Linked DNA regions of Neurospora crassa OR74A. The protein of the gene in region 1 purifies or fractionates together with the protein of each later gene. This does not show direct contact. Links are inferred from orthologs where the notes say so. Each region holds a gene or a part of one and is shown on either strand. Other genes may lie near its edges.

The links. Proteins that work in one complex are often made in the same cells at the same time.
Region 2: the proteins of NCU03597 (region 1) and NCU04646 purify together in Saccharomyces cerevisiae (affinity purification with mass spectrometry; 3 studies listed by BioGRID). This does not show direct contact. The link is inferred for Neurospora crassa OR74A from reciprocal best matches to the Saccharomyces cerevisiae genes POL12 and PRI2.

Annotation. Positions count from the first base shown.
Region 1 is NC_026505.1:1,788,121-1,796,226, reverse strand, and holds NCU03597 (DNA polymerase alpha/primase associated subunit), read right to left. Parts: upstream 4,541-8,106; 5' UTR 4,300-4,540; coding exon 3,809-4,299; intron 3,751-3,808; coding exon 2,415-3,750; intron 2,337-2,414; coding exon 2,160-2,336; 3' UTR 1,928-2,159; coding exon of another isoform or gene 347-1,927; 3' UTR 206-346; downstream 1-205. Other genes in the region: NCU03598 (microfibril-associated protein), read left to right, coding at 347-1,927; NCU03596 (CRAL/TRIO domain-containing protein), read left to right, coding at 5,212-5,839, 5,893-6,494. UniProt on the Saccharomyces cerevisiae protein: Non-catalytic component of DNA polymerase alpha, which in a complex with DNA primase (DNA polymerase alpha:primase) constitutes a replicative polymerase.
Region 2 is NC_026505.1:1,345,726-1,353,296, reverse strand, and holds NCU04646 (DNA primase large subunit), read left to right. Parts: upstream 1-3,095; 5' UTR 3,096-3,185; coding exon 3,186-3,375; intron 3,376-3,465; coding exon 3,466-4,651; intron 4,652-4,742; coding exon 4,743-4,908; 3' UTR 4,909-5,134; downstream 5,135-7,571. Other genes in the region: NCU04645 (DUF124 domain-containing protein), read left to right, coding at 906-921, 983-1,009, 1,065-1,790, 1,878-2,227, 2,289-2,462, 2,525-2,569; NCU04647 (actin binding protein), read right to left, coding at 5,257-6,026, 6,307-6,676. UniProt on the Saccharomyces cerevisiae protein: DNA primase is the polymerase that synthesizes small RNA primers for the Okazaki fragments made during discontinuous DNA replication. In a complex with DNA polymerase alpha (DNA polymerase alpha:primase) constitutes a replicative polymerase.

The DNA of each region.
Region 1 (8,106 bases):
CTGCAAGTCGGAAAGCACAGACCAAAAAACACCCGAACACAGACACACAGGGCTGTCATGCGGGGCATTCGATCGCTACGGCGGGTCGTGGCCCTGCCGGGCAGCGGGAACCAAACACACCCGCTGCGAGGTCCACTTGCCGCGTCACAAAATTTACTGCACGTATCGTACTACGTGACGTTGCACTGTAATTTCATCATTACACCCGGACATGAAAGTTGCATTTCCCAGCATTTCATTTTGAACGCCATTCCGCCCGTCCTTAAGGTTCGCCACCTGTACTTGATCATTCAGCCTTGCATTGCCATCCAGATATCAGCTTTACACGTCCACAGCCACGCCCGTCATGCCGCCAGCTAAGAGCATGACGGCCAACCCGGTCAAGGCACCGCGCTACCGCGCCGGCAAGCCCACCGGTGTCGACTCCGAATCCGAATCCGACAACGTTCCCGAAGACGAGGAGGAAGCCCCCAAGAAGCCTTCCACGCGGAAAGCGCCAGCGCCCAAGTTTGCCAATGCAGCAGGTCCTGGCCGAATCATCAGTCGTGGCAACGATGGCAAGATCAACTTGAAAGCCGCCGGAATAGGCAGCAACGCCCCAGACAACGAAGAAGAAGAGAAAAAGCGACGGGAGGCAGCTGCGAAGGCGCGCATTGCGGCCGAACAGAAAGCAAGAGAGGAAGGGTTCGTGACAGAGGAGGAAGACGAAGAGGAAGAGGAAAGTGGCAACGAGGAAGAAGAGTCGGAAGAGGAAGAGAGCTCAGAAGAAGAAGAGGAAGCACCAAGGCGGTTGATGCTGCGACCAAAGTTCATTCGAAAGGCCGACCGCGAAGCTGGAGTAACCGCATCCAACTCCGCCTCGACAAACAAGAAATCGACACCCGAAGAAGACGAAGCAGCTGCCGCAGAAGCCCGCCGCCGCGCCGCCGACGAGCTTGTCGAAGAGCAAATCAAGAAAGACCTTGCCGCCCGCGCCGCTGGCAAGAAGCACTGGGACGACGACACCGACCCAGAAGACGACCAAATCGACGACACGGATGACATTGACCCCGAAGCCGAATACGCTGCCTGGAAACTGCGTGAGCTGAAGCGCGTCCGGCGCGAGCGCGAGGCTATCGAAGCCAAGGAGAAGGAACTCGCAGAGATCGAGCGCCGACGGAACCTCACGGAAGAAGAACGTCGCGCCGAAGATGAAAAACACCTGCAGCAGCAGAAGGAAGAGAAAGAGGGCAAAGGCAAGATGGCATACATGCAAAAGTACTTTCACAAGGGTGCTTTCTACCAGGATGAGAGCAAGGAGATGGGACTGGACAAGCGAGACATTATGGGCGCGAGGTTTGCGGACGATGTTAAGAACCGGGAGCTGTTGCCCAAGGCGCTGCAGCTGAGAGATATGACCAAGCTGGGAAGAAAGGGCGCCACCAAGTACAGAGACCTCAAGAGTGAAGATACGGGACAGTGGGGCCGCCTGCATGACAACAGGCCAGGGAGGGAGTTTGACAGGTTTGGAGATGAAAGGTTCCAGCCTGATGACTCTCATAGGGATCGGTACAGGGATAGGGGTGGTGATGGGCCGAAGGGCTCGAATGCCATTCCGTTGGGTGATCGGAAGAGCGCCCCGGAGAGGTCAAGGGGTGATGACAGGCCGCGTGGTGAGGATCGGTATAGGGGAGGCGATAGAGATCGCAACCGTGGTAGAGACCATTCTCGGGACCGTTACCGTGACAGGGACGGAGACAGGGACCGTCACCGGGATCGGGATCGGGACCGTGACAGACGTCGGGATGATGATTACAGGGAGAGGCGCCGGTCGCCGTCTCCAAGACGTGATCGTGATCGCGACCACGGCGAGCGGAGGAAACGGTCACCATCCAGAGAGCGGGACCGGTATGAGAGCGACAAGCGAAGAAAGGTGGATACTAGGTAGTCCATGTCTTGCCTACCTGCGGCCTCGTCGGCTCATGCAAGAACTTCTCACATTAATACTGTTGTATCGTCAAGGTGAATGTGCAAACTCTTTTTCATCCCGACGCCAAACCACCTGGTTATACCTATCCTCATGCCAATGCCGAATACAAATACATGGAAACCAGATTTATACCTCCAAATTTTCACATCATCAAGACATGTCTACCAAACCCAGAACTTCGAGATTAAGTTTAAATCCTGGTGACCTCGACTCTTGCCCTCTCAAAGATCCTATGGGCAAGCATCCCACCTGGCGCAGCATCCGCCTCCGACAGTTTTGGCGGATACAGTGTCATCCTGGCATATGTACCGGCTCGCTTGCGTTGTGATAGATACCCGGGGTTGATGACCAACACACTTTCAATGACCTAGACAAGAAAGTCAGTAACTGCACGCATTCCCAGGATGAAAAGCAAATTCAGCAACACAACAAAAAAAAAACATACCTTGGCGAAAGGCGGCAACGCGCTCGGCACAATCAACACATCCGGACGCACATTAACCATCTCGCCCAACTTCAAATAACTGATATCCAGCATGGCGCCCGGCGCAGCCTGCCCATCAATCACCTGTCTCCCCGTCTTGGGCAGCTTCGTCCGATCCGTCGGCGGAAACAGCGGGAAATAATGCCTCTGCTCGATCAGATACCTCGCCACCCTCGACAAGCCATTGGTATCCTCCACCGTGCCGCCAATCAGCTCCTCATGCTTGAGCTCCCACAGCGCATCCTGACTGCTGATCCCCACCAACGTCTCGTTGAGGCTGAGCGTCATTGGGTTGCCAAGGATCTTGATGCTCTTGTGCAGGCCGAGCTCCTTGCGGGGGAAGGGGTCTTGCGGCCAAGAGACGTGGCGGTCGATTACGTCGCGAACCGAGGGAACGAGCAGGATGGTGACGTGCGGATTGGCGGACACGAGTCGGTTCAGCGCGGGCGAGATGAGATACTTGAAGACAGTGTTCAGAGTTGCAGCGTCAGGGTCGTAGACGGCTTCCTCGGGGAGGTCGAAGTCGCCTGATGCAATGAGGGGGTGCTCGGCGTCGATGAAGGGGCCGGTGAGGATGACGGCGTCGGCATAGGTGTCTGCTGCTTCGTTGATGAAAGTGTGGAGGGGCTCGAAGTCGAGGTTGTCGTCGGCGGTGTAGGGGCCAGAGGCAAAGATGACGTTAAGAGGCATGGGGTTTTCGTCGTCGGTGTCCATGGCGTCCGGACCGCCGCGTAGCCTCTCACGGTGTGCTGCCATGGTCTCTAGTGTGGAGGCAGCATTGCCCATGAGAGGCATGCGTATGACTTCGTTGACGGTGAACTCACGCCCCGTGGTATTGGTTCCGCGTAGTGCGACGATCTGTCCGGGGAAGAACTGGTAACCCTTGAGCTTGCTGACGTTTAGGGGTACCCGGAAACCGCCGCCCAACTTTCTGGAGGTTTCTAACACGAGGGAAGCGGCGTTGAGCTTGCCCTCGGACGTATCAGAGGCGACACGCCCGACTGCCACGATCTCTGTGGTACTCTGCATAGCCGCGCTGCCGAATACCGACTCGTCCAACTTGTAATGTTCCAGAACCAAACTTGTAAAGTCGTCTATCCTGTCGTCCAAGATCTCGGATGCTTCAGAAAGCTTCATTGCTAGTGGCTTGTAGCCCAATTTCTTCAGATCGGAGGCGGCAGTAAGTTTGATGCGGGACTCGCCGAAGGGAGCGATGGGTGGTTCGGGCGCAGGGAGATTTTCGTTGAGGATTTCGATCACTTCGCCGGCGTTTGGTCTATCTTTGAAAGAAGATGGTCTTGGAACGGTTAGCAAGGTACATACAGTACGTATGCAGGGAACTGGTCTGGACATACGGAATCACGCCCATGGCATCTAGTTGTGCCTCCAGCTTCATCGGCGAGCTTACGGGCTCATTCTTCAAGCGGGAGCCGATGGGAGTCCCCATTGGTGTTTTCCTAGCCGAACCAAGCTTTGCTGCCCGTCGAGCTGCCGGTGTTGTGAGTCCATCAAGCATACCAAACACATCGCTATTGTTCCTCGCTCCTGGCCTTGGTGTTCCTCCCGGTCGCTTTTCGGTCTTGACTTGCTCCAACGCCTGAGCTCGGTTTGCTCGTTCTAGTGTGTCTTGTAGGTCCTGCTTGAACTTGCGAACAGTGGACATGGACATCTTGGGCTGGTCCATGTCCATCTTGATGCAGTACGACTCCCACTTGAAGAACATGTCTTGAACGTCGAGTTCGTGCAGGCGCATAATCGACTGGAGCTCATATATGACATCTGGAGAGAGCTCGGTGTTGGCAGTGCCGAAGCGCTCGTTGAGCTCGGCCACGACTGGATCGGCCATGATCGCAATGGCAGGTGATGTTTGCGCCTCGTTCTTCTCTTCGGTGCTCGTGATGTTTGACAGATTTAGTCGATGCAGTCCCGTCCCTACTTGAAGTTGCAACAAATAGCGGTTCGAGTTGTGTGGTCGCAGCTTGAGTGGCACAATGAACAAACAAACAAACAAACAATTCGGTATCACGAATATGATCACGGAGGGGAACCACCACTACACATTCACAGGACGCGCCATTGTGGTGCTGACCGCGCCGTAGAAATCAATTAACGCGAAAACACGCTAATCCAATTGGCAGGGGTGGTCCTTGTGGCCCGAGGGTGTGACGCAGCGGCGCTGTAGCTCAGGGGATCTGTGGCTGGTGCGCGGCGGCTTCCCTAGCTCCACAATCCGGAAAGCGCTTTGCTGCAAGTTTAAGACGTACTTGCAAGTTGCAGACGGATTGTCCAAACTCTTCAAAGTGAACGCAGGGGCAGCAAAATGTCCATCAAGCAGGTGCACTGCTTCATCAAAACTCGAGAAGATTGACATGTTGGGTTTGTCACCAATTCCGTCAAGCCAGCACATATTTTCAATGGTGAAATACAAATCTTCTACATCTTGCTTCCAAGCAAGTCTTGGCTTTGCTTCGGTCCAGACGGAAAGACATTCGCCAATTTCCGTGATCATCGAAGCGATCTGCCCTGAGGCCAGCAATCAAAGCCCCTAATCTGTTTGGTTGCGGCTGACACATCGTCGGTCGCTTGAGATTGGGCTCATGGCATCGTCCAATTCCACTGCACTTCCACTTCAACGTATCTCAACTTTCTTTTTCTAAGCCAACCTCCTACGTCTCGTTCCGTTTTTTCCTGCATTTTCTGATCTTGCTCACTCTACTCTCTTTAATTCCCAAATTCTTTACCACGTCGCTCGCTCAAAATGGCCACTGTCCTCAAGGTCCCTCTGGCTTCCCCTACCCCTGACAGCCAGCCCAAGCCCCAAGCGGCGCTTACGGCTGACCAGGAGGAAAAGTACAACTGGTTGCTCGAACAAGTCAAAAACTGGAAGGAAGTCCCTGCGACTGAGGGCAAGGCCGGTCCCATCACCGATAGAGAGAAGTTCTGGTTGACTCGGGAATGTCTCCTCCGCTTTCTGCGCGCAACAAAATGGAATCAAAAGGAGGCTGAGAAACGCATCCTGGGCACGCTCACGTGGAGGAGAGAGTACGGCGTCGAGGAGTTGACTGCGGATCACATCTCGCCCGAAAACGAGACCGGCAAGCAGATCATCTTGGGCTACGACAAGGAGGGCCGCGTCTGCCATTACCTGAACCCTGGCCGCCAGAACACCGAGGCCTCTCCTCGCCAAGTTCAGCACCTCGTCTTCATGCTCGAGCGCGTTATCGACCTTATGCCGCCCCAGGTTGAGACTCTGTCTCTGCTCATCAACTTCAAGTCGAGCAAGTCCAGGTCCAACACGGCTCCTGGCATCGGTCAGGCTCGCGAAGTCCTCAACATCCTTCAGAACCACTACCCCGAGAGACTCGGGCGCGCTCTCATTATTAATGGTATGTGCAATGCTTAATGTCTGACGAACACCCAGAAAACTGACCAACCACAGTTCCCTGGATTGTCAACGGCTTCTTCAAACTCATCACTCCCTTTATCGACCCCAACACCCGCGAGAAGCTCAAGTTCAACGAGGACATGAAGAAGTACGTCCCCGCCGAGCAGCTCTGGACCGAGTTCAACGGCTCTCTTGAGTTCGACTACGACCATGCCACCTACTGGCCCGCCCTGCAGAAGATGTGCGTCGAGAAGCGGGAGGCCAAGTACCAGCGCTGGGTTGCCGGTGGTCAGCAGATTGGCGAGCTGGAGGATTTCATCACTGGGCATGCTCAGGTTGGCGTTGCTGGTCCTATTGCCGCTGCCACCTCTGCTCCTGAGCCCACTCCTGCCGCATCTGCGCCTGCGCCGGCTGCTGAGCCCGAGACCATTCTTGCTCCCGAGCCTGCTCTTGCTTCCGAGACTGCTCTTGCTCCTCCCCCTGTTACTGCTTCCGTACCAGTGGCAACGGAGGCTCACGACGAGGCGCCAGCCCCGGCTCCCGAGGCTGCTGCTATTCCAGAGCCCACACCGGCGGCGGTGCCTGTGGAGGAGAAGAAGGAAGAGGAAAAGCCAAAGGTTGTCGCGTCAACTGAGGTCGGAGAGACCACTGCTTAAAAGGTGCGCTCAGCTGTATAATAGACGGTGTTGGGGTTAGTCGCAATGGGTTTAGGTAAAGAGTAGAATGGTGATTTTGTCGTGTATTTGATACCAATTATAGAAAAACTAGGCGCCATTAGGGTGTTTCTGGTCAGTTAGACATCATAGAAGGCGAAGCATAATATCAGTTTAGTTTGAACAAAGGGTTGGCACTGTTTTAAGAGGTACCTACCCTACATCAAACAACACTCGGTCTCACTGCTTGATAAGGAGCACCTAACGTAGGTAGTAACAACCACGCCAAAGCTTGGTTGACAGTCTTCAAACACTAGTAAAACTCAGTGGAACATGAAACGGGTTGCTGCTTCGCCATATAACCTCATGCTCTACAGTCTCATGACTGTATGGCTACTTTATTGTCTGGACACAGGTTTGTTTTGGCCGCTGTGAATGGAGTCAACAAGTTTTGGTGCATGTGTGAGCCACCCAGTGGGACCTCGCGCGCCAACAAATAGTTTTAAGGGTTGATCTATACACTATATTCCAGTACAGTACTAGCCACGCATTAGTGGAAAACAGCCTGGGCACTAAGTAGGTACGACAGAACCATTTTTCATGTAATGCCAGAGTACCGAGTTCAATCTCGCAGTTGAATGAAGGCTTACCTAGGTAGGTAGGTTGTCTGCTCTCGTCATCAAGACGAGATTCGACAGCACGAGCTGGTTGATCGTCAAGCCCACACACTCGTCTACTCCTACTCCTTAGCGCGATTGCCATTGTATTTTATCGATCATGGTGGTTTTCGTGCAATTTCACTTTCTGGACAATTTTTGATTTGTATAGGTCTCTTGCCTGGTGCATAGGATACCTAATTCGAAACAAGATACCTAGGTAGGTAATAACAGCGAGTAAGAAGAAGAAGAACCACGCCAACTACTAGGTAGGTAGCCAAGTTCCCCAAACTCCCACATCTTAGGTACACAGCTGAAGTATACTAGAAAAAAAAAAAACACTCGGGCGTTTGGTCTGGGAGGGACGGAACGGAGCGGAACGGAACGGGTGGGCAAGGAAGACGGTTGTTGAGATGTTCCTGGGGTTTCCTGGTAAAACGATTGCGTAGCTTGTATAAGGCCGGACGGGAGATCCTGGTTAGCATCAGATGATGCGAGGGTGTTACATAGGTATGTAGCTGGATGCAGGCTAAAAGGACGTTGTTTGGCGTGGCATGGTGAATGTTTATCTGTGAGAGTTCGAAACTTTTCAAAGTCATCTGTCAACTGACTACTTACCTATTGAGGGTGTATGTAATCAGTTCTGAAGCGTATGTATCAGGACAAGGGGGGTAAACATGACTCTGCTCTGGGTTAATAAGTAGTGGGGCTATGCTGCTTTAGCTTCGAGAAAATACAGTAGAAGAGGATAGGAAGTATCAGGGTATCGACGGGTATGGAGTTGGGGGGTATAGTATAGTATAGTATAGCATAGCTATATATTGTATGATCTCCATGCTCACGTTCAGTTTTGCCAAAGTTATAAGCATCTGATTATAGCTCTGTTGCATCACAAACTACATCACACCCCCACGAGATGGAACTCTGTCCTTGTACAGTAAGTTCTCTGATGGAATAGA
Region 2 (7,571 bases), about 440 kb from region 1:
ATCTGATGGGTTCAATCTATCTACGTCCGCACTGACCATTCATCACCTTATCGCAGAGTCAACAAACTTCCCCTTTCGTTCAGGAGCTGAACATCGAAGGCCATGAGCGCAGACAGAACTTTATGAACCTTTTTCACATGTTCTCTTACTTTGTTCCCAAACATTCATTCCTCTTCGACGCCCCTTCGACGCACTTTGGTGGGCTAGAATTGGGATTCGCCATCGGAGATCCGAACGCGCACAGGACCCTGCTGAGCCTGTAAGACTTGGCCGCCAATCACGTTCCTCGGTTCCCTCTGTAAGCGCCCTCGTCCCGCGCTTGCACTTATTGCTCCATGGCCCCATGAAGACAAGACGGCGCTCTTCCCTTCCTGTCATCTTCAAGGCCCATTGATTGGGCACTTCATCTTCTCCATACACCCTGAAGCTTGAATTAGAAAGCAGCCCGCACCACAGCCGCTATGGCGGACGCGCAACGAGAGGCCATCTGGGGCACTGTTCAGTCAGTCCCCTGCTACACTAGGGTAGAGCTGCTCAGGTACCAGTGGCACCCTTCAATACAAATGAGTCTGGACGCCGACTTGACGTCCGCGCCAGATGCTCTTTTCTCCGATCCCTTAACTTTTTCTCCCCCGTTTTCTGACTGTGAATCTGTTTGAACCTCTCTTCTTTTGAACCGGCTTCTCACCATAGCTATCTCCATTCTCTGCTGGTGGTCTCACAAACTCGGGCAACACAAGTGATCTGCAGTCAGCTTCTTTTATAAGTGCGGGGAATCCCTCGAGTTTACTCCAAAAGTTCCCATCGAGACTTGGCGAGGTTCATCAAGACAAGGACCATTCCTTTAACAAGCTCAAAACTATCTGGGAAAGGATTCCTGTGTTCGAGAAAAACAAACAATCAATATGTCTTACTATCCTCGTGAGTATAATACGCTCTTCAGTTTGTTATTGTTATATGATAAAGCTAACAAGTATGTCAGCACCTCCTGGAGCATCCGGTGCTGCAGGTATGTTCCAATGTTGAAAAGCGGATGGAACAGTTGATACTGACGAGGACAACAGCCCCTGCTCAACACAGCTACCCACCTCCTCCCATGTCTGCTCCTCCAACCCAGACAAAGTTCTCTTACCCATCTCCTCCGACCACCCAGCAGCAAGGAAGGCATTATCCTCCTCCTCCTCAGTCCGCCGGCTCGTCTGCCACGCCGCCGCCCAAGTCATCCACTCCTTCGTACCCCTTTCCTCCTCAGCAGCAGCAGCAGCAGCAGCAACAGTATCAACAACCACCACAACAACAATTCTCCCCACCACCGGCCCAGCAATTTTCCCCACCACCGACTCAACAACACCAGCAATATGCGCCACCACCAGCCCAGCAGCAAGTGCAGCAACCGCAGCCTCAATACGCGGCTCCCCCAGCCCAGCAGCAACATGCTCCAACCGCCCTCCCTCTGCACATGAGGACCGATTCCAGCGCGTCCCGAACTTCTGCCCACACCCCTCCTCCTCAGCAACAGTTTGCCGCTCCTCCGCCGTATGCTCAAGGCGAGCAGCAGCCCCAGCAGCAGCAGCAGCCAGCACCCACACAACCGGTTGGTCTGGGGTTGAGCACTTCGGCAGCGGCTGCCATTACTGGTGCACCCGCCGCCGGACAGTTTTCCGGTGTAGGTGCGGTGTCGGATGACGTGGGAACGTTCAATGGTGGCAGTTACCGTATCAGCCATCGGGATTGCAATACTATTTTGACTGTGCAGTTGGCGATCGGTTGCCCGTTGGATGCTAAGCCGGGTATGCTTTCTCTCTTGAAATTCACTCCATAGGTGTATCCAAACGAGTGTGTACTTGGCTAACAGTCTCTATCTTATTCTCGCACAGGATCAATGATCGCCATGTCCCCCTCCATGTCCCTCAAGGGAGCCTACAAGTTTGGCTTGAAGAAACTTGTTGCCGGCGGCGAGATGGGCAGCTCGACTTACACCGGTCCGGGTGAGTTGCTTTTGGCCCCTGCCATGCTCGGCGATATCACGAGTCTCCGCCTGGATGGCTCCCAGACCTGGTCTGTCAGCCACGATGGATACCTTGCTTCGACGCAGAACGTCACCAAGGACTATAAGCGCCAGGGACTGGGAAAGGCCATGTTCTCTGGTGAGGGATTGTGGGTGTACAAGATTAGTGGCACGGGGCTGTTGTGGCTGACGAGTTTTGGTGCCATTGTTCGGAAAGATGTGAGTTATCAGTTGTCTGAAGTCCGAGTGGAAGGGTGCGGGTTGCTAACAGAGGAGACAGCTGGCGGACGGCGAGAAGTACATTGTTGACAACGGCCACTTGGTCGCATGGAATACCAAGTACGTTCTGGAACGTGTTGCTTCCGGCGGCTTACTATCGGGCTTCGCTTCTGGCGAAGGACTGGTGTGCAAATTCACTGGCCCTGGAACAATATTCATCCAGACAAGGAATGCGGTTTGTCAAACCCCACACCAGCTTGATACGTTTGGACATGACATAAACTAACTTTTATAAAGACTGCCTTTAGTGCGTTTATGACCGGTCAAACAGCAAAGGCCTAGAGCTGGATTAGGATGTAGGAGTCGTACGGGAGAGTGATACCTGTGGCGGTCGCATTTGAGGCTGTGAACCTCGCATCACTTGATGTCCTTTCATTCTGTTTATTTTGAGTTTGTTAGCGATGTCATGTCGGCTTTGAGATGTGTTCGGGAATAGTTAAAATGTCAGTATCAGTGAACCATGAGCCTCTTGTCCTGTCCTTAGACTAGAAGCTTGACAGCTTCGTTTCCGCTTGGCAACCTATCGATCCGCCATGAATGAGGTTTGGGAAACAGGCGACATAGGCCTGGCTCTCCAAACAATGATACGAGAAGATCCCACCGGGAAAAGACAGACTGAGAAACTTTGAACAGTGGAAAGAAAGTCCAAGTTTGCGAGTAAAAGGGTCTTCGGTGACCGGCTGGCTTTCTAGGGTTAGGGTCAAAGCAGCATCGCGCCCAACTTCACGGACAAAATTACGCCTGTGATTGGCCAGCTTTTTAATTGATTTTGTAAGAGCTGCGCGTCAAGGTAACTTTAGACGCGTCTCCCAGACCAACATCATCCCCAGTCCACGGCTTCCAACCGACAACCTCCCACGTCAGAAAGCCAGGAGGACAGTCCTACCAAGTCTCCATCATGCTACGATCAAACGTCAGTCGCATCGACCCCAAAAGGCGAAACGTCCTCGACCACCGCAAGAAACAATTCGCAGAAGCCGCCTACAAGGACACCGATTATCCCCATCGGCTCAACTTCTACTCGACCCCTCCAACAGCCGACATCACCATTGAGCAGTTTGAACAATGGGCCATCGACAGGTTACGAAGTATGTATCATACCACGCTCATATCTCAGTGATCTACAATACTGGGCGTGCCTCTAAACGCTAATCAACCTCTTTCTTATCATAATCCAGTCCTCGCCGAACTCGAAGCATGCTCCTTCCGTAACAAAACCCCCGCCGAGACGGCCTCGCACATGAAACCTTTACTCGACAAGTACCTCCCGCTCGACACCAACAGCTCCTCCTCCTCCCAGCTCTTCGCCCAGCGGCAAAAAGACCACTACAGCCACTTCATCCTTCGTCTCGCTTTTGCGTCCACGGAGGACCTCCGACGCCGCTTCACCCGCGTCGAAACCATGTTATTTCGCATGCGCCTGAACGCCGACGACGGTCGCGAGCGCGCGGCTTTTATAAACTCGCTTAATCTCGACTGGGAGACTGTTTCGGACGAAGAGAAGCGCGAACTAGCTGCCGAGTTGGCAGCGACTGCCTCCTTCGGCGGCTACAAAAAGGGACAACAGCAGCAGCAGCAATACGAAGAAGACCAACAAACATGGTGCAAAGTCTCGTGGCTGCGCGTCCCCGAGCTGGTCGAACAGCGGCGCGTCTTTCTCCGACAAGGCTACGCCTACGTTCCCGCGCGCGAACAGCAAGCGATGGTCGTTTCGGAATTCTCGTCCCGGCTGGAACGACAGCTCGAGTTAACCGCCCGGGCCCTTCCCCGACTAGACGAAGACGACCGCTTGACGCCCATCCTGGCACACTTGTCCAAGAACTTTATCACGCCCGACGCTTCGTACGTAGGTACTTCATCCGCCATCTCCTCGGCGGATATCTCAGCCAGAAACATCGACACGCTGGTGAACAACCACCATTTCCCCGCTTGCATGTCCCATTTGCATCGCACCCTGCGGCGGGACGCGCACTTGAAGCACTACGGTCGTCTCCAGTACACCCTCTTTCTGAAGGGCATCGGCCTCAACCTCGAAGAATGCTTGCTATTTTGGCGACAGAGTTTCAACAAAATCACCGACGACACGTTCAACAAGGAGTACCGGTACAACGTGCGACACACGTACGGCGACGTGGGCGGCGACAGCAATCGGCGCGGCGGCGGTTACTCGCCATATTCGTGCCAAAAGATTCTCACAGAACATCCTCCCGGACCGGGCGAGGCGCACGGGTGTCCGTACAGACACTTTAACATGGAGAATCTGCAGACGCTGTTGCAGCAGGGGATGGGGGTGACGGATCGCGGGGTGTTGAATGGGGTCAAGGAGGATAAGGAGAAGCAAAAGTTTCATATGGCTTGCAATCGGTATGTTTCTCCCCGCCGCCTTGCTGCTGCTACTCTCTTGACGCTGCTGGACTTGAGCAGTGAATTAACGCTGATGTGGGATACAACCCAGGGTATTCGAACATCTTCACAAGGAAGAACTCAAAAAGGCCAAGGATGAGGGTATCATGACTGCGGCGCAGCTTGAGACTATTGTCCACCCCAACGAGTACTTCAAGCGGAGTTACTTGCTGAAGAATATGGGCAAGATGCAAGGGGATGTCAAGATGGAGGGTTGAAGATACCATGCATGGTTGATGCGGACGAGCTTGAAAAGAGGTTCGATGTGGAAATATGGATGGGCATGGGATGTGGGACCCGGGTTTCTTTCTGTTGTAGTATTTTCTGGCGTTCAGGCGACATAGCGACGACATGACACTCGTACAAGTTCACCCACACACACATGTATGGGATATGATTTGATGAACATCATTAACTTGATCATATTCAACATGTAGATTTATGGTTCTGACATGCTATCCCATACCACGAGTACAGCAGACACCAAAAGAACTAGGCAACACATCACAGGTAATCAAAAGGTGAACAGAAAGTGGTGAGAAATGGGTATCAATTGTTTATTCTTTCTACTGCGGCAATGGCTTCCTGAAGCGACCTTGCAACCAGCAGCGGTACATCTTCAGCTTCTTTGCCCGGTTGACGAGCAATCTACGATCGACACCAAGGTCCTCAATCACGAAGCGGATGTCAGGCTCAGAAGCGTCCTCGACCTCACTGTCCTTGGTAAACAGCTTGCCCGACCAAATATCGGCCAGCTCGTCTTTCTCAAAGAAGTAGACGCGAGTGCCATCACCACGAATGTAGAAGTTCTCGTCCAGATAACGACCCTTCTTGAAGCGGACCTGAGCCAAGTCTCCTCTTCCATAGTCACGGAAGCACACTTCACCGCCGGGCTTGAGCACACGGTAGACATTCTCGACGGCCTTCTTCCACTGCAACGGGGACAATGCAGAGAAGATAAACACCATGAGGGCGACGTCCACCGAGTTCTCATCAAGGTGAGGGGGCAGCTCGTCGCCGGCCACGTCCCACACATCGGCCTGCATCTGGTCCGTGTTGTAGGCCTCGTGCGAGCGCATGACCTCGACGGCCTTCTTGGAGAAATCACAGGCGTGGATCTTCAGTTCGGGGTTCTTGTTCTTGGACAGGATGGGGAAGGCCGTGTTGCCCGCGCCAGCTCCTATTTCGAGGAGGGTGCAGGGGCCGTATCCCTCAGAGGTGACCTTGTCCAAGATAGGGAACTCCTGCTGAAGCCACTTGCGATCCTTGAAAAAGTTGGCGGTGTTATTCTTGTAGAACTGGTTCCACCACTTTGCAGGGTCCGAGTTGAACCGGTCTGTTGCAGGCAAGTTGAGTTAGCAGACTGCTCCAAGGTCTGGATGTGGTAGCAACTTGGTGTTTGTTTGAAACAGAACCCAATGGTAAAGGGCAAAATCAGATGGGAGCGAAAGACTATAAAATACGTAGTTGTCTTCATGAATAATTCAGATGAACTATGCTTATGATTGTAAATCATCACGGAAGCCCAAGAGAGAGGTGCAATGGGTATGAACCCCTCTCTTAGCGTGAACCATTGGGGAGAGCGAGGTGTGAAAGATGGACGAGTGGCTACTTACGCTTATCAAAGTCCGAGACGGGCGCATTGCGCTGCATCTCGTACTGCTGTTCAGCATACTCCTTGTATGCGTCATCAGTCTCGACATGATCCCACGCGTTGAACTCAAAGACGTCATCCTGCTCCTGCAGATAGCGAGATCCGAACTGAAACGGGTCGCTGCGCTTTTGGTTGAACTGGGGATCGTGGGACCGGTGGGGAGGCTGCTGTTCCTCCTGCTGCTGCTCAGGCTGCTGTTTCTCCTCGGCTATTTCGAGCTTGGAGATCTGGGCAGCGAGCTGCTGCTCGGGCTGTTGTTGTTGTTGTTGTTCATCGACGACAACCTGTGCCTCGGTAGAGGCGACAGGAGCGACGACGCCATTCGATGCCATGGCGAAGGACAATGTTGGAGGATCCTGGTTAGTGCACTGGTAAAAAGATGCAGCTAACAATCACCACTGGTCATTGAATGGCACTGGCTTTGTTGAAAGGTTGACGCAGCATATCGTGCTGGTTCTTGAACCGCGGAGGGAACGAAGAATGAAGAGACGGAGAGGAGAGGAGGGGGAAAAGATTTGCAAATTCCGAAACGAGGAAAAGTACAAAAAATGGTCCAGAGCCTGTGGAGCCAATTGGGCTGTGGAGGGGGCCCACCCAACTTTGCACTCAGTGGGCACAAGCTCCGACTGTCTTATCCTTATCTACCCCTAACCCTGGTTGTCCATTGAGGTTGTCGCATCAAGGAGCTGTCCCTCACTCGCCCCCGAATTCGAATCTGGAGATAACTCGCAGACAAATACTTGAAAATCGATAGAATCAAGATCTTGATGCTGGAATACGACCAAATGTGTGAAGTAGATATGATTCAGCGTTCTTCCCCCAGCCGAACCGTTCGACCTTCGAGTCCCGCAGCAGCTGCCGTACCTTCCCTACGGCTCCTTCATCCGATCTCAACCTCAACGCTAATGACCATATTAGGGACCCGGTTGGTCCCTAATTTCAACAACAACCGCTTGGTCAGATGGCACAACGGTCTACCGTTTGAGTTCTCAAAACTCAAAAACCTATTGCCTGTCCGGATCGGGAACGGTGTGCTAAGATACGGAAAGGGGTCTTCACATCTAGTAGCCGGTCTACCTATATGGTATCTGGGAACGCTCCAGTCGACAGATGAAATCAAACGGTTCACCGATGCTCTGACCGGGCGGTTGTTGTTTTTTGCTCCTCTCCTCTCCTCTCTTGCTTGCTTGGAGAGAGGTGGTGCGTTCGAGCCAGTCGTCGATAATC